3 linked regions of the Oryzias latipes genome follow. The protein of the gene in region 2 purifies or fractionates together with the protein of the main gene of each other region. This does not show direct contact. Links are inferred from orthologs where the notes say so. Each region holds a gene or a part of one and is shown on either strand. Other genes may lie near its edges.

Region 1 (7,947 bases), on a different chromosome or scaffold from region 2:
TGGAGGTCCAGCTGCAGGACAACTCGTTCTGCAGAAGGTCAGGGGGGAACAGCGACACTCAAGCACAAAGACTCTCCTTTAAGGGTTTAGAGAAAGAGGCGGCTTACATTAGGGATAGCATCCTCCAGAAGCCACTTGGATTTTCTCCTCTTCCTTTCAGCTGAACTACTGAAGCAAAAACACAAAAACACAAAGATGGATTTCCACGACCCCCAAGCATCCCAAAAACGATTCCAGGTAGCTTGAAAGTTAAAAAAAAAAAATCTACCTGACCGAGGTCGTCTTCCGGCCCCGCCCCCCGTCATGCAGAGCATGCTCGGGTAAGAGTTTGGAGGGGGGGTTGGGCGGGACTCGGGTCCTCAAACGAAAGATGCACTTCCTCTTCTTGATTTCTTTCCCACATAGGAACCTGAGGACACGCATGTAGATACTTACTGGATCGGCAGACGCACAGATGAACTGTCAGGAAGGCGGGGTCGGTACTTACTTGCTCTTGTAGTTATTGAGAGCATCCAGCAGGTGCTGCCCCCTGTCTGCAGGAGGAGTGTTAGACAGCTGAAGAAATAAGAAGAGAGCTGACAACCAACACCACAACTCAAAGCAGGATCACATCAGAATCAGAATCAGAATCAGATTCTGGTTCAGCTCAGCGTCTCTTCGGTTCCTCTGCTGTTTACCTTTCCGAGCTGCAAGTGGTCCCAGTTGGTCGATACGAAGGCCAGAATCTCATCAAGCTCAAAGTACTTCTTCTTGCTGCTGACTGACAGGTTGTAGAGAACCAGGTGAACCACATCCACCCACCTGAGGGGCAAACGGCGGATGTACTCGCAGCCCTTGTTACACACCGCACACAGGAAGAGGTAGAACCTGGAAGGACAGCAGACCCTTAGCATGAACACAGAGGAGGACGGAGCAGGGGGGGGGGGCAGGAAGGATCACCTGTCTCCAAACATCATGGACTCCTGAAGACACTGAGTACAGGCCTCGTGGAACCACTGCTGACACCTGAAACACTGCAGCATCTTCAGGTACCACCTGCACACGCACACACGTCAGTCAGACAACACCTGGCACTCACAACACGCCGGTCTCTCGGGCGGTCGGCCTTACTCTCCAGGGCCTCCGCAGTAACAGTAACACTGCTGCTGATTGGTCCGATGCTGAGAGTCCCAGTCCAAGGAATCCAGCTTGTAGGACAGGACCTGCTTCATGGCACACAGAGCTTTGGCTATCGGCCCCTTCTTCAGAGCGCCCCCTTTCTGCGAGGACGACAGGGAACGGGTCAGGGACAACGGAGAGGGGGATTGTGGGAACATGCTGATGCAGCACTGGGAAGAGGCGTTACCCGAACAGCCAGAGCAAAGACGCAACGTCTGCAGAACCAAGGGCTCAGGCTGCTGCCCTCTACTGGAGGAATGTGACACAGCTGGTGGAAGCCTGGCAAACACAGAGACAGGCGATTTTATGACCAGGTTAACTGGATCAACATGGGATCATGTGATACTACTCCCCAAAGTGAAGCCAACACAAGACGTTTCTCAAATGACTACCAGGTCTATTAAAGCAAGCAATTTCCCACTGACTCCCATGTCAGCATGAATGATGTGAAGCAGGTAAACCAGAGCATCGCCTCCTTCAGGTGTGTTCACCTGCACAGACTCGCACTGATGTTGTGGGCTGGCGCAGAGACCTACACTAACTTTAGGATTTGGCGAGAGCGCCCACCGAACACGTCGCCCCCTTCTACAGATGTGAAGGTGTGAACTCAGACAACGCCATGCTCACCGATGCCGCACTTCCCACAAATCAGGATTTGGTTGTTGACCTTAGGCTGGCCGTCAGAGTCTGGCTCCGCCCTGCGACACACAGAGCAGCGAGGCTCCTCCCCTGGCACTCCAGCTGAAACGTGATCAGGCAGAAGCACGTGACATAACAACTCAGGGCATCACACATGTCAGCATGAAGGATCTTCTCCTGTCTGTGACTGATTAAAAACGGAAAGAGAAGCTCCACGAGGAACTTGATGTTTCCTTGGCAACCATCTTCTAGGACACCTGAAAACGACTGACGTCCTCACACCCTGCTGGAGCAGAGATTCATTTGAAAGCTTAAACAGTGTGTATCGATTACAGAAATATTCAAACTGATGGCTGCTCCAGCAACAGACAGTTAAGTGAGCGTTCAGGAATGCTTCAACAGTTGATGTCAGGACTGAAAGCTAGTTCCATCTGAACTAAAGTACGGTGGCCCTGAAGTCGACGAATCGCGTCATCCAATCCACGCAAACACATTTTAAAGATCGCAACCACAATTAAAAAGAAAATAATAATAATTTTAACTGTGTTACATTTTGAAAATCTAAACATAATTTCAGAAACCAAAACACAAATAAAAAACAAAAACAAAAGGAAGCATTCAAAATGACTTTTACTGGTATGTTTGTTTAACCAGCCCTGTTAGTGCTGTTACTGCCGTGTTACTGCAGTGTTACAGTCACTGTTTGGAAGCAAAGCTCAAGTATGTTATTAAAAGTTTGAAAACTCTTCCTGTGTACCATCTTTCTTTGGAAATATATCACGTGCTGAAACTTTCCAGCATTACTTTTTTTCTTTCTGACGGTGGTCTGAAAATGCAGGGAGATCCTCTCCGCTGAAGGCGGATCTTCCTTCGGGGTTCACTTCCCTGTTCGGACCTTCAGAGCCTCCAGAGCGGGTTAATAAAGAATCATTCACCATTCTTCTGGAGGGGAATCTTCTGTTATTACAGTTTTCCTTCACTCTGTATATCAAACATGAACGCACACCCCCAACACACTTCTGCTGCACGCGCTCCCCCCTCTTTCTTACACACGCGTGTGGTTTCAGCACACAAACATCCTCATTCTACAACACATGTTTCAATGTGGCCACATGCGGCTTATAGACAGGTGTGGCTTATGTATGTACAAAATGTTCTATCCTTTAAAAATGTAATGGTGCTTATAACCAGGTGCGCTCTATAGTCCAGAAATTAAGGTATACAGGTGTTGTAGAATGAGTGTGTGTGTGTGTGTCAGCGCGCTGCGTGTGTAAGAGGAAGGAGCGGAGCAGCAAAAGAGTGAGTGAGAGTGCACAAGCGTGTTGGGGGTGTGCGCGCGTTCATGCTTGGTGTTAGGAGTGAAGGAGAACAGTAATGAAAGGTTTCCCCCAGAAGAACGGTGACTGATTCTTTATTAACCTGCTCTGGAGTACAGCTGTGACAGTGAGGGATTTTGATCACCGCCGTGATGAAGCAGCAGGAGTCGCGGTGTCGGGACTCTTGCTTCCCCTCCCCTACACACACACACACACACACACACACACAATCCTCTGGCAGGCGGTCGTGACGCACACTACTCAAGAACGCACGCAGCTTGTAATGGAAATGAATACAATAGAAATTCCCCCAGAAGCTCTTGAAGTTTGAACACAGGACTCACAGAAAAAACAAATTATCAGCAAAGATGAATGTGTTTATTATAGTTCAAATCCCGCACCATATGCAGAGCTTTCAAAAAAAAAAACAACAAGGTGATGAGATGATCACGGTGATAATCTCATTACCGTGGTGATGCGGTTATCGTCACAGCCCTAACGGAAACGCGGCGAGGGAGAAACTGGATAAGGTATGTACTATGGGATATCGCTGATTGGATTTGTCTGTCTGTTCAACCCAAAGTTATTTAGCATAGAGCGATTCTGGATATGCTCCATACTAATCATAAAAGCGTGGGGCCATTGAAGGCACGTTTGAAAAAATAAATCAATCAGTGACGTCCCAGAGTTCCTACGCTTAAGCTTAATGTGTTTCATTTGTCTAACATTTTATCTCGTTTCTGGAAATGACTTTGGTTTTTCTAAAAGGTTTTTTATTTTTTACGTTTCTGAAATTTAGTTTTATTTTCTCAAATGTAATGCTGTTTTTTAATATTTGTTTTGCTATGGTTATTGTTGTGATTTTGACATTTTTTGTGTGGAGTGAGGTGATCTGCCCTTCAGGGCCACCGTACTAAAGACTCACTCAGTTGAAAAACTGTATTTTTGGCTCCTTTAAGATTTTCTTGGAGCATTTTTATCTGATGATGGATGACATTTATAAAGAAAATTGAGCCCAAAATTGCACTTTTGAATTTTATTTTTCCTTTCACATCACTGTGAACCAGAAGAAGAAAAAAATGCAGCCCTCCCTGTTGGACAGCAACAGGGAGGGAGGGGAAGGGGGGCGGGGCTGCTCTGCACCAACAGTCACAGTTAAGACGTGTACCGGTAGTTTTAATGATTTCCTGCCGCTCTGCAGAAACTATGTCTTAGAAAACGTCGATTTTGGCTAAAAACAGCAGCAGCATCAGCATTAAAAGACCACTGCAAACGCTTTAGAAATAAATCAGAAAATGATCTCTAAATGTGGCGGCGCTAATGAAAACATCCTTCAGTCACACAGAGAGCATCTAGAGGCTGCTTCAAGCATTTGGTGAGCCCGCCTGACTCACCATGCTGGATGTCCTTCAAGAGGACCCAGAACTTGGAGTTGTCCTCAAATGTGACGAAGCAGCTCTGTCTGGGGGGGCTCACCTGTCAGAAGGTAAAAAGCTTAAAGCAGCCAATAAGAACAGAAGAGTCCCCGCGTTCACGGACAGGTGAGTCTGCAGCCAAACCTTACCCTCTGTATCTTTCCTAGGTAGTACAGTCCGTCTGACCAATGGCAAAGCACAAACTGCCCCACACTCAGACTGGACTCTGCCCCCTCCACCTCTGCCAATGTCCCACTATGGCTCCCCTCGCCCCCAGGAGACACCTGAGGCTCCAGACCGCAGAAAGCTTCGATCAAGTCCTCAAACATCCTGCAAAGAGATGGATGGAGAGACAGAGGGAGAGAGACGCTGGTTTAGAACAGAGAGAGAGAGAGAGACAGGCCGTTAGTGGCTGTGATTCATTCCTGAACTGTTTGTGCGGTTTTGACACCACAGAGCATGCGCACTGCATCCTCCCATCTAATTTCCTTACCTGACCTACAACCGCATAAACTACCGCACCCTGACATCCGTGACAGCTCACACTAACGGAAAACTCCCGAAGCATGCTGGCGGGTCATGCATCACTAAATGTTTAAAACGTTTTGGTACCAGCACCGGTTCTGCATATATAAATGCACGCTGACGCCAGACAGTTCCCCTGCAGGCTGAGCCGGGCGGGCCAGACCTGCTGAAGGACGCAGGGCATCTTCTCACCTCTTCTCTGGCGGATCCAATCACGCCCTTCTCAGTCCTTTGGAGCTCGGAGCCCGATTCGGCCCGGTAACAGCCCGACGGACGGACGAACGGGGATACCGAACCTCTGGCGCGGCAGCAGTGTCCCGCCGTCCCTCGTTTTCTGTGCCTCTCCTCTCCCTCTGCCTCCGTTTGGCGGCTCCGAGCTTCAAACTCTCGCCGGCGCCATTTTTTTCATTTTCCCGCGAATCAGAGGATGGGTTTTTTTTCTACCAGCGTCGTGTGCGTGATGACGTCATGACGCTGCTGCGCGGCTGCAGCCGGAGCCCCTTTCAACGTTTCACTGATTTTAATATCGAGGTGAGCGCCGTTGTGAGTCTAGGAAGAGGCTGCGCGAGCACAAGTTTTATTTAAGGAATAGATGTATAATTTCAAGAACTCAAAGAAGCAGATCCGCCAATATTTAATTGGCAGCAGTCATACTGTCCAGGTTTATACCTTAAGAGCCCCCCCTCTCTCTGTCGCGCCTGCGCATACATGATGCTGGAACGAGTTTGATCAAAATGTTTGTTATTGCAGAAAAAGAACAGGGGGGTATTCCAGAGAGCAGGTTCTGCTAGCTCCCACGGTAAGTTTGAGGCTAAGGAAGTGGATAACCTCAGCTTTCGGTTCCAGAAATGGAGGTATGTTTCAGGGTATGTCAAGTTGCCATGGCAACTCATGCTCTGAACATAACCTGGTCTGGAGCAGGTTTAGTTGAAGGTTAGTTTGTTTTCAGAGAGGTGAAGCAGCATGGCGTGTCCATTTGAAGATGATTTAGTGGATGAAGAAGCTCAGATAATACTTTTTCCACCATGAGAGGGTGATAAGACCACATATGGATGTTGGAAAGAGAAACTTTTTTACTTTGATCTAACTTAATTATTTGCTTCAGTTAAGATAATTAAAAATCGTTTTATTTGTTAAGTCAGTTTAAAAATAACACGTAGTTTTCAGACAGTTATTTTACTTTCATTCAAATTAATTCAATGAAGTAGGTGTAACTTTGGTGCTGCTGTTAGATCGGCACTGCAAGGGATTGTGGGATACCATTCCCTTTGCCTGTCTGGACGGATTTGGGTTTAAGTGTGGGTTTTTGACCAAATGTGTTTAGTTGTTTTGCTGTTTTACTGTGTTTTACCCTGTTTTGCCGAGTTATTTTGACCTACTTTGCACAGGTCTCTGCACCATGAGGGAGAGGGAGGGAGAGGATGATGAGTTTATATAGCTCCCCTACAGTCAGCTGGTATATTAATAATGTTGGAAAATTTCTAAATGAATGAAAGCTTGCAGGTTATACTGTTTTGTTCTTTTTATTGTTATAAAAATGAAGATCTGCCGGCTCAAATTTAGACATATGAGAGTTCAAGAATTTTAATTCATTACGAAGGAAAAAAAAATTACTTTAATTAGAGTAATATGACATTTAGTTAAATAAATATGTAAATTTGAGTTGTATTAACAACTATTGAGTTTTATAGACGTAAGAAATTAGGTTGAATAAATTTAACTCAATTACTTGTTACCAATAGAAGTAGGCCTGCACAATATACCGCAAATTTATCGTTATCGCAATTTCTAGCTGTGCAATATGCATATCGCAAAAGACAGCAAATTTGCAATAAATGGTTACCTTAGATGTGGCCAAACAATCTTATGGCAGCTTGAAGTGTTTAATGGATCGAAAGAATCCCTTTCTGCATTTGACCAATCAGATGGACCCCTTCACGTTAACTAATCGGATGGCGCCCTATTATGTTGTATGTTCGCCTCCTATGTCAACAAGGGTCATTTCTAGTATAATTTTTAAGCTGTTGTAATGGAATGGGAATCATATTTTTGGTTGTTTTGCTAATTGTTTATATACCGCAAATTATATCGTTATCGCAATATTAATTACTAATATATATATATATGCGTCACATGAAAATGGAAATAAGATCAGAAACTCGTCCGTTTACTTTGTCTGTTCTTCTACTACAACAAGCAGAAACTTTTTCTTTTGCTGATGATGCAGCCGTGTTACTTTTTTGATGGACGTATATTCTTCCTACGCCGTCATTAAAATCTCAGACTCCGTCTCACTGAAGTATAGCGCTCTCTTTTTTTTCACCACGCGTTTCCATGGTGACTCCGGAAATCGGCGATCCATTGAGAATGTCTTTATGTACATGCGGCGCACCTGCATTAACCCAGGGTTACCAAGTCGAGTGTAATTATGCCAACTCATATCCGGTCTTTTGGAACCGAGATACCCAGAGTAAGCAAGTTCAGGCGGATTTCAGCCAGAGTTCAGGGTTAAAGTCAGGCTAGTTTAAACATGCTTCCTGGAATACCCCCCTGGTGGATTTGTGTTATTGTAAAAATGTTTGGTCATTCTTAGTCTAATGGTGAACAACACATCAATGACCCCATGAGATGTTTTCTATAAACGTTAAAGGACCTATAGTAACGCAAAATCAATGTTTTTAACCATTAAGTGTACAATAAGGTAAATTCCTAATGAGAAGAAACTCCAAAGTGGTATTTTGATCCACTCATGCATCGAAGTTTTCCTCTAAAACCCTGCTCTCTTGGCACCAGCCCCTCCCAATCTATGAGGGGGTCTTTACATTGTGACATCACAAATTGGGGAATCGTCCCTTTCAGGGAGAGCTGGCAGCTCCGCCCCCAGGATAATACAC
Region 2 (8,301 bases):
TAATTCAATTCAATTCAATTTCAATTCAATTTTATTTGTATAGCCCAAAATCACAACAACAGTCGTCTCGATGGGCTTCGAAGTAAAACATGAAATCAAAAGGATCACGAATACAAAGAGTTCAATAGAAAAATACTAAAATGAACTAACAAACTGACTAAGCTATACTGGCATCCCTGCCCTTAGACCCCCCTTCGCGGTAAGGAAAAACTCCCAAAAAAAACGGATTCCGGAAAAAACGAAGAAACCTCAGGGGTGCCCACATGAAGGAGGGATCCTCCCCCAGGACGGACAGGCGATTTACCAGAAATCTTAGAGAAGAATTAACTTATCTAAATCTACAACTACATATATAAAAGTCCAGCAGACGAGCTTCATCCAGCCGTGGTTATCGGGACAGTCAAAGGCGCGAGTCGAGCCGGAGACAGGAACCACAGCCAGGTGTAGGAGCAGGAGCAGAGACGAGGTACTCGGTCAGGTACAGAGCAGAGACGAGCCAGAGATGAGCCAGAGGCTCATCTCTGGCTCGTCCTCAAAGTAATTATTTGAGGACGTTCTCAAAGTAATTATTTACTTTGAGAACTTTGCCTCTGAACAGCAACTAGACACTGTTTTTTAGACACTGCTTGACATGTTAAAAGTTAATACTCAATTAACTAAAACCAAATTAACCCATTATTTATTTGGTACTTTAGCATTTTTCCTTTTCACTAAAAGAGCCATAATGTAGGGATAAAGGAGTTGCATGTGGCTCCTGAGCCTCACGTGTCAGACCTCTGACCTAGAGATACATTATAATGGTAATTTCATCAATTTTTGTAAAAAAAAGAAAAAGAAAAAAGAGGATATTTTATGCTTTCTTAAGAAGAAGGGATGTTTTTTAAGTCTAGTTTTACCTGAAGAGGAAGTGCTTTCATGGTCACTGTCGCCCTCTTTGCTCTCCTCCGCAGATGCAGACGGTCCAGGACAACTTGAACTGGTAGCACGTTGCTGCCTCCGCCGCCGCCGAGACCTCTGTGATCTTCGCATATTCTGATCCACAAACTCTTTAGCCCCTTTCTGCATCAAAAAGAAGGAACCTTGTAAGCCACGAAACAAGGAACATTACTTAAACACAGAATGCATGAACTGACTATGCAGACACACCTGCAACAGGAAGCACTCCTCCCCACAGGGCTCTGTCTCCATGCGGATCTCCTTACTTTTCCTCTTGTAAACGTTAGGCGTAGCACGAAAAGCTTCACCAAGAGAGGCAGGACAATTATAAACTGGAAAACTATTACATCAAAAAAAATTGTGGCTACTCCAATCATAACATGTTTATCAGAAAAACTAGAAAAGACAAGAAAAGTCATTACGGTGGAGGAAACAGTCGTATTTGAAACACCGTCTGCAGAAGAGAGTGTGGAAGGAGTGTAAGGACTGCTCTCTCTGAACAGACTTTGCAAAAGGTCCATCTAAGTTAGGGGTGCACAGGGGGGGCAGTTTCACTTGACTGGAGGGCTCCAATAGGTCCTTGTACCTGTGGAGAGTGCACAGGAAAACTTTAGCGGTCCTACTAATTCTTCAGTGTCACTTTTAAGGTTTGTAAGCTCTTTCATATGCTGATGCAACTATTATTTTGAGCTGGAGAGCCTGAGACTGAGCCATTATTCTTCCTTTCCCTCCTGCCAGCTCATGTCTCCATGGTGAAGACTCAGCAAAAGACTGACCGGCCTCGTGCACGAACATCCCTGAAACTGAAAACACTTTTCTTACTTTTCCTTCAGCTCCTCTGTTGTGCCTTTGTAGGGGAACATCGAGGCGATGGCTGTAAATATTTTATCGCTGGGGATCCTCTTGCTGCCAGACAAATCTCTCACTTTTGGAGACACAGAGCGAAGACTGTTAAGCAAATCAACTGAACTCGAACTAACATCAGACTTTTACACAGTGTAGGATTTTCTATCTCTAAATCCCTAATCCCTGTACTTGAGAACTAGCAGCTGTTTGTATCCAAGTTCCCATACGTCCTGAAACAACAGGTCATTCAGTCCTGTAATAAAAGCCAACTAGACTCTGTCAAACACAGCATCCACATGTGAAAACAAGGGCACCTTTAAATCAACAATGCCAGCTCAGGAGCCGCTGTGGCAGGGTGACCTTGTGGTGGTTGTCGTGTCCTAAAATGAACAGTGTGAGGCTTGTTCATACCGTACAACGCAGAACTCACCCTCAGTCATGCTTCTTCTTTTCCTTCTGATGAACGCTCCAGACTTCGTCTCCTCTGAGCCTTCCACTAAGCTCCTTCTCATCATCCTCTCGTCATCTTTCTTCTCTGTAACGTCCACGGCTGTTGCTGCTGCTGCGGCTCCTTCCTCCTCCTCGTCTTCTTCATGGTCAGAATACTGGCTGAGGGCGTCCACCAGCTCTTTAAAGACCTCGTCACTGATAAAACCACCCTCTAGGACACAATCAGCATGTCATGACCTAAAAACTGACAACAACCTCTTTCGCGTTTTAAGATTTTACGAAAACAGCAGTTTCGGAACACAAACCTCTGTCACCATGGACACCATCATAGTTATCAATGAGCTCCTCCAGGAAAGCCTCGTCCTGTTCCAGTACCTCATCGCCCATGTAAGGGATGTTATGGAGGAACGTCTCATCCTCTACCTTCAGAAACACAAAAAAGGACGCAAGGCTCAGAGCTGTGTGTGAGTGTGTGCCAATGCCTCTTGTACAGGTTTCTCTCAAAAAAGAAATTTTATCTCAAGGGATTTCCTGGTAAAATAAAGTTTCAATCAAATCTGGATCAGCTAAAAGTTAATGAAAAATTGGATTGTAAATCCTCTCTCTCTCTCTCTCTATATATATATATATATATAAAACTTAAAGGAGATATTGAAAATAAAAAAAGTAAATTTATACTTTTAATATAAAAGAAAAGCACCTACACTATGAACCTAAAACTGTTACCAAATGATAAATGTTTGTTTATAATAGATGCTGTTTTGTGTTTTCAACTTTTGTTTTTTCGCTTCTCTCTGTCTTTGCTTTCAGTCCTCAATTCTTTTTATTAAGCCTTATTTGACATGGGGGTGGGGCTTTGAGCCCATTGGCTACCGGAGCATGATTGACATGTGGTGATAGAGATTCTGGTAACATAATTTCCACTACGAAACAGCGTCTGTTGATGGCGCGGCCGGTGTCATCTCTCCTCTAATGAAGCAGCTGTTACAAACAAATATTATTTTTCAGTTGCTTTTAGTTATATATTTCTTTTCATTCAAGTTTGAAACTTAAATTTTCAATATTGTATTGAGACTGCTCAGTTCTTCCCATTCTTTACATGTCAGTTGTCATGTTATTTTGTCCCAAAGATGACAATGATAGTGAAAAATGTCTTCATAATGTATAATTGCATGTGAAACAGCATCAAAAAATATTTGCCACTGTGTTAGAGGCCCTGTAAAAAATGATTTTCATGGGGCACAAAATCCCTAGCGGTGGCCCTCAGAAAAATGCCACATGAACGTGTTAAAAGCACCCAAAAGACAATTTTTGTTGGAGTGGGTGTTTAAGCTGATCCTTATTTGACCCCAATCAGAGAGTCATTGTTATCAAGGTAAGTTAAAATGACTGAAACTGCTCCCCAGTTATTGCACCACTCACATACCATGAAATTGTGCTGCAGGGGAGACCAGGAGTACATGAATGGGATCCCTGCCACTGTTGACAGTGGCCTCATGGCGATGGCTTGAGCTTTGAATCCTGGGAAACCAAACTCCACCGAACACATCTGAAAGAAAACCCAGAAAAACAGTCATTTTGGAGAACCTAGAGCAATATTCCTCATATATGGGCAGTTTCTAAACATCATCACCTTCTTATTAGCCAGTGCTACATTAGACACAGACAGCGGGATGGACTGAATCTTAAGCGTGGACCACTCTGAGTTAAGGACAGTAGTCTGCTGCTCAATCTTCTCCCGGTTGGATGAGAACAGGGTCTATAAAAACAGTAGAAATCCAAACACAGGTTTGAGTGAATGAGAAACAGGGACAAAGTACTTTATTAGTATTCAAATGGAAGATGCTGACACAACTCTAAATCTACCTTGACCTCGTCTGCTTTTTTAAGGCGTTTTAATTGGCGCAGGCGCATATACTCTGACTTGACCCTCCGCCTCCACTCCAGCAGGCTGCGGGACGGGGCAAAAGTGCAGGGCGGAGGCCTTGGCTGAGATGGGGCAACACTGGTACCAGGGGCAGGATGTGCTGTTTCCTCCATGACTGCAGGACAAACTCTGGCAAAACAAATGAGTCAAAGGTCAACTCACAATTCTGCCATAAAGAATGTGTTAAAGCAAACTGTTACCAGCTTCTTATAAAAAATATTTTTATGTATTTTTCCATTTTAGCTCATTTTTATAAATATTCCTCCATCTTCAAAGCCTGAAGGCGGTTTTAAAAAAAACAGAACACTTGCACTTTCCCATAAGCCACTGCTGCAGGTTTTTGCAAAACAGCGCCCCCCTCTGTTCGCAAAACAAAATTGCCATCTACTGGTAAAAAGCCCTTTTGAAGGGTGCTTTAAAATCTCAAGGTTACCCCATGATTATAGCCATACTTGGGGTAAAATAATAATAGTGAAACACGCGGAAAAAAGCCAACAGTCCAGGCATGCGTGCAAGCACGAAGTCCGTGGTTTTTTAGCCCACATTTCTAAAGAGTGGGCGTGCCTCGGCGGAGCAGAAAAGTGCGTAGCGCTGTTTTTTAGTGTTTCATAACCGCCTGCAAACATTTTCCCCAAAGATACAAGCTGAACACAGTGACAGATGAATAGCATATGAAAATGGAGCTCAGAAATTGTCGCCGTGGGTCTGATTTTCACGCGTAAACACGTTTCCACCACAGATACGCAGCGGGGCTTCGTCCTGAGGGTGCAGCCACAGCACCGTGGCGCACTACCGTGTCCATTTAAACCCAGAACACTTTTAAGACTTGCGCACTGACTCCTCTACAATGAAGGTTTTCCTGCACACGCGCGTGTGTGCGTCCAGATCCCCACGTCCAGTGTCGCAGTCACACACCTTTAAAATCCACGTCCGATTTTGGTGCAACGCGATCAAATCCCGGCGTTGGGAAGAAAAAAAAAAAGAAGGAAAAAAAATCGTTTGTGCTATGGATTAGACGAAAATATCGAGTCCAGAAGGCGAGAGGATCTCCGTGAAAGCAGCACGTTATCCAAACGCATGGTGCTGGAGGTTGTTGTTGGAGCGTACAAATAGCTGCGCACTTTGGTTGAACCAACCCGAGCACGAGGGTGACGTCTTTACTGCGACCAGAGCGCTTCCAAGCGGAGCTGGGATTTATGTCTATTCTGCGCCCTAGGAATAAAAAGTAGCGTGGAGCAGCAACGGCACAGCCATTACGCACACGCACAGGAACTGATGCAACTGCTTGAAGTACCATCTGAATGAATGACCCCTCTTCTTTGACCAAGGTGAAAAATAGAAAAACTAAAATGGAAATACAGCATCTATTTCAGTATCTACAATTAAGCAATTAAAAAAGGTCAAAGTGTAATTTATAGGGCTGTGTGGCTATAATAGAAATAACAATCGATCAAAAAACAAAAAAAAAAAAATGCAAAAACTGTTTTAACCAAATATAAATAGTCTTTCTTTCATTTCAGAATACAAATATCTGTAAGTGAGAGTTTCAGGTAAGACTTAATTGGTAACCAGCCTCCAGTTTTCTAACATTCCTTTGGACCTGTCTAAATATTTAGCTGCTGTTTTACATTTCTCCGGCAGGGGGAGCCCAATCTTATTATATTTAATGACCTGTTTATTTTTCTTTTTCTAAAATTGTCTCAAATACCTTATATACTCTACGAGTAAAATGGCGTGGTATAGTTTAATTAAATCACATTTCCAACAGTCAAAAATAATAACAGGTCTAACGTTTTGTTGCAGTGCTTGGATCTATTTCATTTGTAAATGTTTATGATTTGATTTTCAACAAAAGACTCCTGTCATAGCATGTAAAGGTTTTAATGTTTGAAGCCAAACTAATGCACATCGTTTATTCAACCTTACATACATTAAAAATCAGAATTTCAACCAAAAACACATCATCATATCTTGTTCCAGGATTTTATCACTTCTGTGGAGGTTTTTATAAATTATAAATAATCTCTGTGCATTTATTTTATTTTCTTCATTTTGGGAGATAAAAGTTCATAAACGTCCGAATTTTGAGACAATACTTCTATGAGACACAAGATGGCACTCTTCTGCTGCCAGTCATGGAATAATTTTACTTTTCTAACTCCTCATGCATTAAGACAACAATTTTTAACATCACATAACACATTGTGTTTCTTTTCTCTGCTCTGAACTGTTACACCACACCCGCTTGGGGTATTATTTATGCTTTTGGTTTGTGAAAGTGGTCATATTTCAGTCAACAAAGCACGCTTGGCAATTTAGAAGCAGTGTAGGCCGTTGCTAGCAACATGCTGATAATGAACTGTCAAAAGACAACAAACTGAATTTAGGAAGTGAAGACATTATCAGTTTTTAAAACTTGTGATGTTGTTGATTTTTGAACTTTCTATTGCAACTGGTTTCTTCAGATTTGGAACAAGACATTTCTAGTATCTGGAGCAAAAACTTGGTGAGGAAAAGGTTTCTAAAGCAGCTGATAAAAACTACAACTAAAGCAATTTAAAAAATAAATTAAAGTTACCTTTTAAAGCAAATGAAATACAAGCCAAGAAAGTAAGTCAGATTTTCTTTTTTTACCTTTCTAAGGAGCACATTTAAAACACATGTTCTTTGTAGACAAATGCATGGATCTGAACTTTGCAAGGATTTCAAGAACTTGTTGCAGAAAAAAAATGAAATTTCCTACACTCAGTGAAGTGAAATGTGGAAACAATTTTGGCTTCTGCTGTCTGGATATTTTCCAAGCGCAGCAGCTGAGACAGAAGACTCATCCTTCAATGACGTAAGCAGGCTCTTCAGTTTCAAACAGGGTGTCCCTGCCACCTCTGTGTACCACAAGACCTCAACCTGACGTCAAAACATCCAGGGTGGGAAGAAAAGGGGTGCTTGTCACCATTCCAGATGATGTTCCATGGCGTGAAAGGAAATAGTACATTCTGTGCACAACACACATACATTGAGGATTTCTGTCTTTAAGGTAAAAAAATTTAGACCCTAAATCCTTCTGTACATTCAGTTCTTTTGTTTGGATGTTTTTTGGGACATTAATGTTAAAAAAAAAATCTTAAAATCTCAAGTTTCTCAGAAGATGCTTTTTAGTTCTTTTAAAACAAAAAAGAATGAAACATTTGTAAAGAGAAACTGATGGTGGTGTACAATGGGCTACAGCAGCTCCAACACTATCAGACTCCTTTTCACCATTTGGTGAATCCGCCCATACTAGGAAATGAGGGCTTCCTGTTGTTTTATAGAGCCTTCCTGCAGAAAGGTTGAGATACATTACCCTTACTCACCAGGGAAGATGAACACAGCGTTGTCAGACAAAATGACACTCACCAGATTCTCTCCTGTGCTTTCTGGGTGTTTCATAATACTTCTCATGTGTGGTAAGTAGATGATTTCTCTGACCCATGTCTTGCCTTTTCCTTAATTCTTAAACTTTTCTCTATAGATGAGCGCTTGAAACCCTTTTTTTAATTGAATATTTGTACAAAAGGTAGAAGAAAATGTTGTTTTTTGAGGGGTTCACTTTGATGCAAATTAAATATGAAAAAAGAAGACACCTTTTTATGATTCCTGATGGAATTACAGACACTAAAAATGTCATTACAACTGTTAATATTTTTGTTGAGGTGGAAAAAGGTTTTTTAGAAATGTTTGTCTTAGGTGTTTTTTCTTTGTGTGCTTGGAGACAAAGAAAGGATGCAGTGAATTTTTGGACTTCCTTAACCTTTTCTAGTTTTACACCATGTGTTAACCCCTCAAACTAAACTATTATTGAGAGTTTAGTTCACTTTGAGTGTTGTTAGATGACTCTGTAGAATATTTTCTTATAATTGCTCATATTCTCATTGTTTTTTTCTGAAGGACACAGAACTGTGCTTTGTCTGCCTAACGACGATGCAGGGCTGCAACCCAACGTAACAGCAAGTGAGGTTTTTTATTCCAAGACAGCAGAAGCAATAATTTCCTTTTTCTTTAATATTCTTGAACAGAAATTGTGCAAATCAGAGAGTGTCAAACTTTTTTAGCACCTGAAACTGAGTGCTTCATGTACTGGTACCTATAAAAATAATGATCTAAGT
Region 3 (8,305 bases), on a different chromosome or scaffold from region 2:
ACAAAATAACAAAATGGTCAATGGGTTGCAGAAAAAATCTTTAATTTTAAAATAAAACCAAGAAAAAAAAAAGCTTATCTAGCCCTCTATCTTGAATTAATAAACTCCCCCCCCCTACACCATGTGTTCCTACCAGATATGTTTGAATGTTTTTCATTATTTACACTTTTTCAAATTTCCACATGAGATCTCTTGTTGCTTGCTACTTCTAACGCACAAAAATCTTATCAACACGTGAGTTGAGAGTTCAAGCTGACCCAGGTTCATTTGTTTTAACTATGACAAAGGTTTTCCGGTTGCAAAATGAAGACTATTCGAAATGAAAGGAATCCTGGTGTGACTCAAATTTGCCAGTGTGAATGTGAATAAATGGGAATAAAGAAGGTACAGTGCATTGTGAATCTGTAAGTTAGATGTATAAAAAAGGTGAAAGCACTTGTAGAAGTCAGAGAACTCTTTTTTTTTAATTTTTTTCTATACCTTTTGGTCCCATAAAGGCTCCCAAGCAGACAAGCCACCAAACAGTTATTGTAATGATTGTGTCATTTGTTTTTTCTTCTAAGGATACAAAATATGAAATCAGACTAACCTAAATGATGCAAAAATTAAAGGCCCCTTTTAGGTAAATGTAAGAATTATTTTTTTAAATGTCATTCATATAGAGAAATAAAGTTTTCAAGATGAGAAGTTTCTGTAATTAATAAATTAACTATACCGTTTGAGATTGTTTGAATACAATGTTAGTGTGTCTGTGTGTGTGGGGGGGGGGATTCCTTTGCATGCAAATGTGGGCACTTCTTTTGTTTATTGCCCATTTAAATAGTTTATTTTTCCTGTTTGTTTCTCTCTTTCAACAACAGCTATCTAGAACTGCAGGCAAAGTGGCTGTAAATGCGTCACTGACATTTGTTATCATTATTTTTACCTTTCCCTCCACATTTTCAGATGTGAAAAAACAGAATTCATCAGATATGTTAACCTTCAGGAGAAGATTTGATTCTTCACAAGAAACCTTGGTGTATTTTTCAGATTTTTCTAAATCAGAACACAGACATGATCAGATAACGGTTATGAGATAATGCTGTTTAAATCATAATCATGCTATTTATTTGCTTAAATCTGATAATTAGAGAATTTAGATAATGATCTTTACTGTGCATGTTAATTGGCTTTTTAGAAAAAATGCAATACATTGTTTGAATCACTAATTTTAACATAATGAACCACAAAAAGTAGGAACATGTGTGTTGTAGATAATTTCTCTGTTCATAGTGCTTCTCGGGAACCATTTAGAAAACATTTTTAAACTTCTGTTTAAATGGTGCACATTTAAAAGGAGAAATTTGGCAAACTGTTCATGCACGTACTTATCTTGGCTGCTAATCCCACAACTGCATGTTCCTTACAATTGGGTTATCGTTTAGAAGAGAGACAAAGAGGCTTTTCAACAGTTTAACATTTAATTCCAAGCATTGCTGTAAAACATAACCCACCAAACACAATTGCTGGTACTTATGCATTAGCATTCCACCTCAAGAGGTTTTTCTACTTCTTATATTGCAGAGATTAAAAATAAAAACGGATTGAAATTGATTTGACCCGTTAGTATCCAGCGAATAGGGTTACCATTCCACCGCTACATTTGTTTGCCAGTTTCTGTTTTGACATTTTCAGTAAAATGTGAATTCGGAACTTCCTTACAATTTTGTGTCTGAATTCCTTCACTATTCAAGATCGAGTGGCCCAGAAACTTCCTAGAAGTATCTGTGAAAAACCAGTGTTCAAACGCAATGCATTGTGGTCTATATTTGCAATCCAGTGAGCATTAATCCACACTGGCAGAGACTTCTGGGAAGTTTGTAGGGCAATTGGTTTTGGAATTGTAGATTCGGACAGCACTACAAAATCTCGAACACAGTATATAGTGAGTATTGAAGAATTCGGACATAGCTCCATTTTTTTTTGGTGCTAAAAACGGCATTACCATAACAAAAGTCCACAGGCAGCGATCATGCAATAGACCAAAAGATGATCCGAGTGGAGCTTTAAGGTTCTGAAAGTCATGTAAATTTACGTAAGCTTGTATAGCACTTTTCTACCTTCCTCGATGGCCCAAAGCACTTTCCAGTCACAAACTCATTCACCCATTCACACACTGAACTCCATAGGCTCCAACCTTGCACCAGAGGCAAGGTAGGGTTCGGTGTCTTGCCCAAGGACACTACGACACATGGGCGGAAATTGTGTTTGGTGGGTTATGTTTTCCAGCAATGCTTGGAATTAAATGTTACACTGTTGAAAAGCCTCTTTGTCTCCCTTCTAAACGATAACCCAATTGTAAGGAACATGCAGTTGTGGGACACATGGGTGGGAATCAAACCTGCTATCCAAGGTCGACCACCCTACCACTGCACCATGGCCGCCCATGTAGCTACTGGTTGTTTGTATCCTTAAGCTTCCATTGGCTCTAGCCAGTCACAATTCAGAAGTAGTTCTCAGAATTGCTGGGGGCTGCATAATATTGATTTTGTGACAGAAGCCTGTGGGCCGGTGGCCGCACTTGGCCTATGGGTCGGACTTTGGACATGCTTGCTGTAGACAAAACACCCTTATGCAGAAATACCCACATTCCCTTACTTGCTGTGGTACATTTTTCAAACCAAAACACGAAATAGACTACATATAGAGATGGATTCTCCTTTTTCCATCCCATTTTTTAACAAACGCCCCACGGGGGAACGAAACAAGCGGCCAGCTCGCGAGGGCTGTCTCTCCGGGACTTTGAAGTTGCCGCTCCGCGCTCGTGCGCCTCCGTGATAGGCGGAGAGGCGGAGGCCGGGGAAGAAAGGAGCTGCTCTCAGTCAGCAGAGCAGTGCCGCTGGAGAGCTCTGTCGATGGTTGCGGGCTCCAGCCAGAAACACCGCGATTCCTAACGTTTTGTTTTTTTATTTTTCTCTTTTTATTTATTGCTTTCTCACGATGTCATACCGGGCAGGATGTGACTTGCTGACCTAACCTCGGCTATCTGCATGTTTTCGAGACGAGCGGGTGCGCAGAGTGGCCGAGCTGTTCGGGCGAATGGAAGTTATTGTTGTGCATTTGTTTTGACTATGTTACCCCCAAGTAAGTTTGGGTCCAGTCCGTCTCTGTCCGTCGTCGACTCTTGAATCGTGGGGATTTAGCTCCGACTTCTCCGAGGAGAGAACACCGCCGGAGGATTCCTGCAGCCTACGGCCAGCGAGCTTTTCCGACCGAGCCGGGGATTTAAATCGTCATTTGGCGGAGAGCTCCGGGAGAGGCGAGAGTCAAAAGAAAGAAGAAATTCATGTGGCCATTCTCTCTATAGCCAAACATTTTTTTTGGGTGGGATTGCATAATGAGCAAGGAAAGACCTAAGAGGAATATCATTCAAAAGAAATATGTAAGTAAACCCTCTTTTTTTCCTCCTAAATGCAGCTCCTGTATTCAAGTTCGCTCGGCTCGCCTCGATGAAAATGCACAAACTTTCATCGCGGGCTGTGAAGGTTACCGTCAGGCAGCTTTGTGGGGTTGTTTCCATTAAATGTGAGCTTTTGTCGGCGTGTCAGCGCGGATCTGGCCGTGAATTTAAAGGTGCAGCTCGTGTTTATTCTTCGATACCCCCCCACCCCCCCATGTTTTATGCTATCTGAACACGGGCTGCTTTTCGCTCGTTTCGACTCGGTTTTTTCACGCGCGACAGCGGGAGGCAACGCGTCTCCTGGGTCGTGTTTTGGGGGTCGTGGATGGAGAGCCGTGGTCAGACGGAGGGTCTCAGAAAACTGGGCTTTTGTTCGACCCCCTCGCTTCTTGCTACTCGAAGCAGCGCAGACGAGCCTGTCGGCCATAGCTCGGCTTCCATTTCGTCCCATGCTGAGCGTTTCATCTCGGCTTGTAACCGAGCTGCTGGAGGACTAGGTCGGCCAAATCAGAGGCGTTGTCGTATCTCTAAATGTGTATATAATTCACGTTTAGGGTGAAATAGGTGTCGTTTTTTGGTGGTGGTGGTGGGGGGGACTGACTGCATGCTGTGGCGGCTCTTTAATTTCCTCCATAAAGAGTGAGGCAGCGCAGAAGGGAAGGGGGGTTACGCGAATCCGCATTCTCACCCAATTTCTATCACGTTACACGACGAAGGTTACTTTCTTTTTGGGGTTTATATATGTTTTTAGCCTATTACCCTCTCGACCAGGTGACGGGCGACAGGCTGCCGGTATTTTAGCTGTGACCTCTGTGAAGGTGCCGCTCGGTGAGGGGGCAACTCCATTTTTTTCAGCACTAAGGCTAGCTTGCCAACCTTTTAGGTATCGACCTCAACGGCTGAATTCCTGCCGAACGGAACGCCGCTCGGTCGGCCTGTTTGAACGCGGTGCTCCTAAATGACCCAGTCTTCTCCCACTCCCCTCCTTTTTTTTTAAGAGTCTGTGTTCAGTCGCATTGCAGAGGCTTATGTATGTAGCGACCATTTTCTTTTTTGTCCGAGTATCGCTGAGTTTGATGGGAAGGGCTGCTCCATGCTCCTTTTTGGGGGTTCAAAAGTAGTTCGGCTAGTTTTAACCCGAGCCCACCGCATGACTCATACACGTATATATTATTATATATTTTTTGAAATTTCGGATCAGAGTCCGTGACTTTACACGAGAAGTTTATTGCACTTCTGATGTAATGATTGCTGACCCAAACGGACAACATGTATTGTTTAAAAAGCCCCATTAAGTCAGCAGAACTCAAAGACCCCCCCCCCCCCCCCCCCGCAGTGACCTCAACAAAACGACACGCGGAGTGGCTCATAAAGAAAATAGTTCCCCATGTGGGCGTTTAAAATCCACGAATAAAACCCCCCAAAACGAATTGAATTCTTATCCATAGATGCAAAAAAAAGATTTTTTTTCAGAGTATTTTAGTTTTATTGGTTCCTAATAGGAAGCTTGGTTGTATATTTTGTCTCAATTACCAGCAAGGACGACTCATGCAAATGCATCCTTATCTGCATTCCACTGATGATGATTTTACTTCTAACATGTTGGTGCCAGTTTACCTGCTTTTATTGATGGGAAACGGTCCATATCTGGGATTTTTGAAATGCCAGTGAAAGTAGCAGAGCAGTCATTTCTTTTAGTCATAGCACTGACTCAGCTGTGATCTTTTTCTGACCATGCAGTTTCATGTAGTGATGTTGCAACAAGAGGCCTCGCCTGCTCACATTTTTTCACCCAATCGGGCTGTTTTCTAGTAACTCTGGGCCGAGAAAGCAGGATGTTGTGGAAATAGTGACTCAATCAAATAAAAGTCCTGGTTTAGAATGGAGCCATGGACTTTCATGTTTTTTTTTTTTAGGAATAAACGTATAGCTTTTGGCGTCAAGTCCTAATTTGCCTAGTGTTGAGACTTAAAGTTGGCTAATTGTGCAGCTTAAGCACAGGAAACACATTTCAGTTCTGAATATATATGCATGTGTCACATCTGTCATGTGTTTTCAGCAGTTGCGGCTGATCCATTACGTCTGGTCCAGACCAAAATAAGCCTTTAAGAAAGTATTTTATTTTTATTTTTTACAACAACCCAGAGAAGTTCTGGTCCTCTTGTAAACCCTCCAGGCTTTGAGACATGACCCTTAGTGACCCCCTCCCCCTCCTTTACGGCCCCCTAATTAGCGTAAGACAATTAGACATGCTTGGCTCAACCATTTCCCCCCTGAAACATAAGTGTGAGTTGTTGCCCCCCATTCACCCCCACCTCCTGTACCCAACAAGCACGCATTGTTGACAACTGATATTAAAATTCATCAGTCATAAAATGATTTAAAATGGGGGTGGAGGAGACCCCTAATAAAAGCAAACGGGGCTTGGCCGTAATCGTTTTTCCACCAGGGTCACAAACGAGGATGTGAGCAGGTCTTGGGCGCCCCGGCGGTCCCTTTTGGAGGGTATCGGCTCACCTTTGTTTCTGCTCTTCGGCGGTTGAAGGGGGGTAAAGATTGTGTAATGACTATTAAGCTCTAATGCGTGGCTGTGTTGTTGTGTCTAACGAAACATGACACACACTTTTGAGTGTGTGAGCAGAGGGCGAGTGCAGCGCTGCGCGGGCAGGGCCATTTTGTGCAGAGTCGGCTCTTCCTGTAGGCCCCAGCTGGGGCCAGGCCTCCGACTCAAAGGGTGTGTGTGTATGTGTGTGGGTGTGTGTGTGGGACGAACCAGCTGCTGCAGAGACCTTTACAAATGTAAAGAGGCTGTCAGTGTTTGTTTCATCAGACTCACAACTGATGAGGGCCAAGTTGAAAATCCACTGCACTGCGAGTGTGTGTGCTGGGCCTGCACAAAAAGAAGAAACAAAAATAGAGAGAATGGGGAGTGCATAGGCAAAGACCCCCCCTCCCACCCCTTCTCTGTATTTTCCTCTCTATCTAACCCCCTCCTTCTCTTTGCATCTCTCCATCTCGCTCCTTTCGTTCTTGGCTGTCCGAATGAAATGTGGGGCTGGTGGAAGGACGTGAGGGGGGTCACAAGGTTGTTGTTTTTTTTCACCACGCTTTAGCTGCAGTCCGCTTCATTTCACCTTCTGTTTTAATGCAAATTCTTTTATCATGATCTCCCTGGTCCTCGTGTGTGCAACATGGAAGAGCTCAAACCCGAAGCGCGGTGCGGTGAAGAGCGACGTTTTTTTTTTTTTTTTTTTTTTTACTGCTCCTTGATTGGATTCCACGTAGCAAATATGAACAACACTTAAAAAAAAGTCTTATCCACGCCTGCTGTTCTGTGCCTCCTCCTGTGGATCTTTTATGGTCTATTTGGTAACCACACTGATTAAAATGGGCTGTCAACAAAAATAGAGAGAGAAACTATAAGTTTGTGGAAAAGACACCCTATAGGTGTAGTATACAGATCATCTTCATCCGTCTTTGCAAATTTGCGACACTTTTTGGTGTGTACTGTGAAGTGGAAGAACTGGCCTTCTCAGGTTTTACATCCCTTCTCACTCAGCTGGGCTTTACCACAGCAAAAACTTTGGTTTGTGTTTTTAAAGAAACTTCTCAGCTGCTCTCTATCCAGAGTGGACAAAGATATTCAACATCCTGGTGAAACTATTTCTTTTTTTCTTTGCTCTGCCTCTTTTTTTCCCCCCGTATCCGTTTTTCATACATTGTGTCACCCACAGCAAACATGAGTCTTATGCAATATACCCTTTCCACTTATCAGCTGTTGGCATTGAGCACAATCTCCCTGCCATGCGTGCACACACACACACACACATCCGTGGACAAAAGCTTTGCGTGTTCACCTGTAGTCAGGTGAGCCAGACTGGTTTGCATTGGTTGGTATCACCTAGATATCAGCAGCTTAGGTCATTTGCAGGAGTAATGACGTAAATCTGGGTGTGACTCTCTGGCATATGTGGTATTTGCTTTGACTTTATGAGCTCTGTGTGAAAGTCTGTGTAGGTGTGCGCCTTTTTTTTTTTTTTGGTGTTGTTTTTTAATCTTTTTATTTTAACGGTCTGTGCTCCAATAGTTAACACGGGGGCGGGTTTGGACTGGGTTCAGTTGGGGCGGGTGTTCGTGTCACGTACACCACTTGTGCTTGCTCGGCTCGGTTCAAGTGATTTATCTCTTCTTTCTCCTGCTGGTTTGGATGGAGATGGGCAGAGGGAGACAGCTGGTCAGGCCCTGAGAGGCTGTGTGCTTGTGTTTGTGCGTCTGTGCACACACGCTCACTCATGGATGCGTGCACGCACGTGTGCAAGCGCTTGCCACGGCTTATCCGTTCCGTATCCCTGTGAAGCTGAATCAACACTTTGGCTTTGTCTCTGCTTGAGCCACACGGACTTTAAGGAAGCCCATATGTGGCGTTCGGCATTAACCGAGATGGGTCTGAATGTAATCATTGCCATTTCTACCACTCTATAGGGTGGACTGCATTATAAGGCGCACCATCAATGATGCATTGGACTGGAAGGCGAATTAAGCGAGCCAAGAGTCAGAGACGCTAGAATGACTTTCTTAACTACGCTCACAGTAATTCTTGTTTGTAACATACTACACAGTAGCCAAGTTAGCCAATTCACAATACCTGTAACTCCCAACCGTGTTTGGAACACTTGTAAAAACAAAAAAACAGACTGATACAGCTGAGACGAATGCTACCGTGACTACTAGGGTTGGGCGATGTCCCTTAAATTGGCCGTTGACGATGTTTGCTGTCAACCATCGGGATGGACGATGACATCGTCGGGGGGGGGGGGGGGGGGGTGTTATTTTTACATTTTTCGTTCTTATATAACTGCTATTCGT

Evidence for each region. The genes of interacting proteins can lie anywhere in the genome.
Region 1: the proteins of ezh1 (region 2) and phf19 purify together in Homo sapiens (affinity purification with mass spectrometry; 4 studies listed by BioGRID and IntAct, counting the BioPlex papers as one, with this or other methods). This does not show direct contact. The link is inferred for Oryzias latipes from reciprocal best matches to the Homo sapiens genes EZH1 and PHF19.
Region 3: the proteins of ezh1 (region 2) and jarid2 purify together in Homo sapiens (affinity purification with mass spectrometry; 4 studies listed by BioGRID and IntAct, with this or other methods). This does not show direct contact. The link is inferred for Oryzias latipes from reciprocal best matches to the Homo sapiens genes EZH1 and JARID2.

Annotation. Positions count from the first base shown.
Region 1 is NC_019867.2:31,489,543-31,497,489, reverse strand, and holds the start of phf19 (PHD finger protein 19), read right to left. Parts: upstream 5,461-7,947; 5' UTR 5,246-5,460; intron 4,859-5,245; 5' UTR 4,858-4,858; coding exon 4,678-4,857; intron 4,590-4,677; coding exon 4,508-4,589; intron 1,900-4,507; coding exon 1,786-1,899; intron 1,438-1,785; coding exon 1,346-1,437; intron 1,260-1,345; coding exon 1,111-1,259; intron 1,036-1,110; coding exon 940-1,035; intron 868-939; coding exon 678-867; intron 556-677; coding exon 488-555; intron 410-487; coding exon 269-409; intron 169-268; coding exon 108-168; intron 29-107; coding exon 1-28.
Region 2 is NC_019866.2:6,664,484-6,672,784, reverse strand, and holds the start of ezh1 (histone-lysine N-methyltransferase EZH1), read right to left. Parts: upstream 5,410-8,301; 5' UTR 5,075-5,409; intron 4,289-5,074; 5' UTR 4,273-4,288; coding exon 4,105-4,272; coding exon of another isoform or gene 4,099-4,104; intron 3,992-4,098; coding exon 3,866-3,991; intron 3,782-3,865; coding exon 3,659-3,781; intron 2,656-3,658; coding exon 2,538-2,655; intron 2,444-2,537; coding exon 2,213-2,443; intron 1,862-2,212; coding exon 1,759-1,861; intron 1,523-1,758; coding exon 1,359-1,522; intron 1,239-1,358; coding exon 1,147-1,238; intron 1,060-1,146; coding exon 897-1,059; intron 1-896.
Region 3 is NC_019869.2:23,829,251-23,837,555, reverse strand, and holds the start of jarid2 (protein Jumonji), read left to right. Parts: upstream 1-2,845; 5' UTR 2,846-3,376; coding exon 3,377-3,421; intron 3,422-8,305.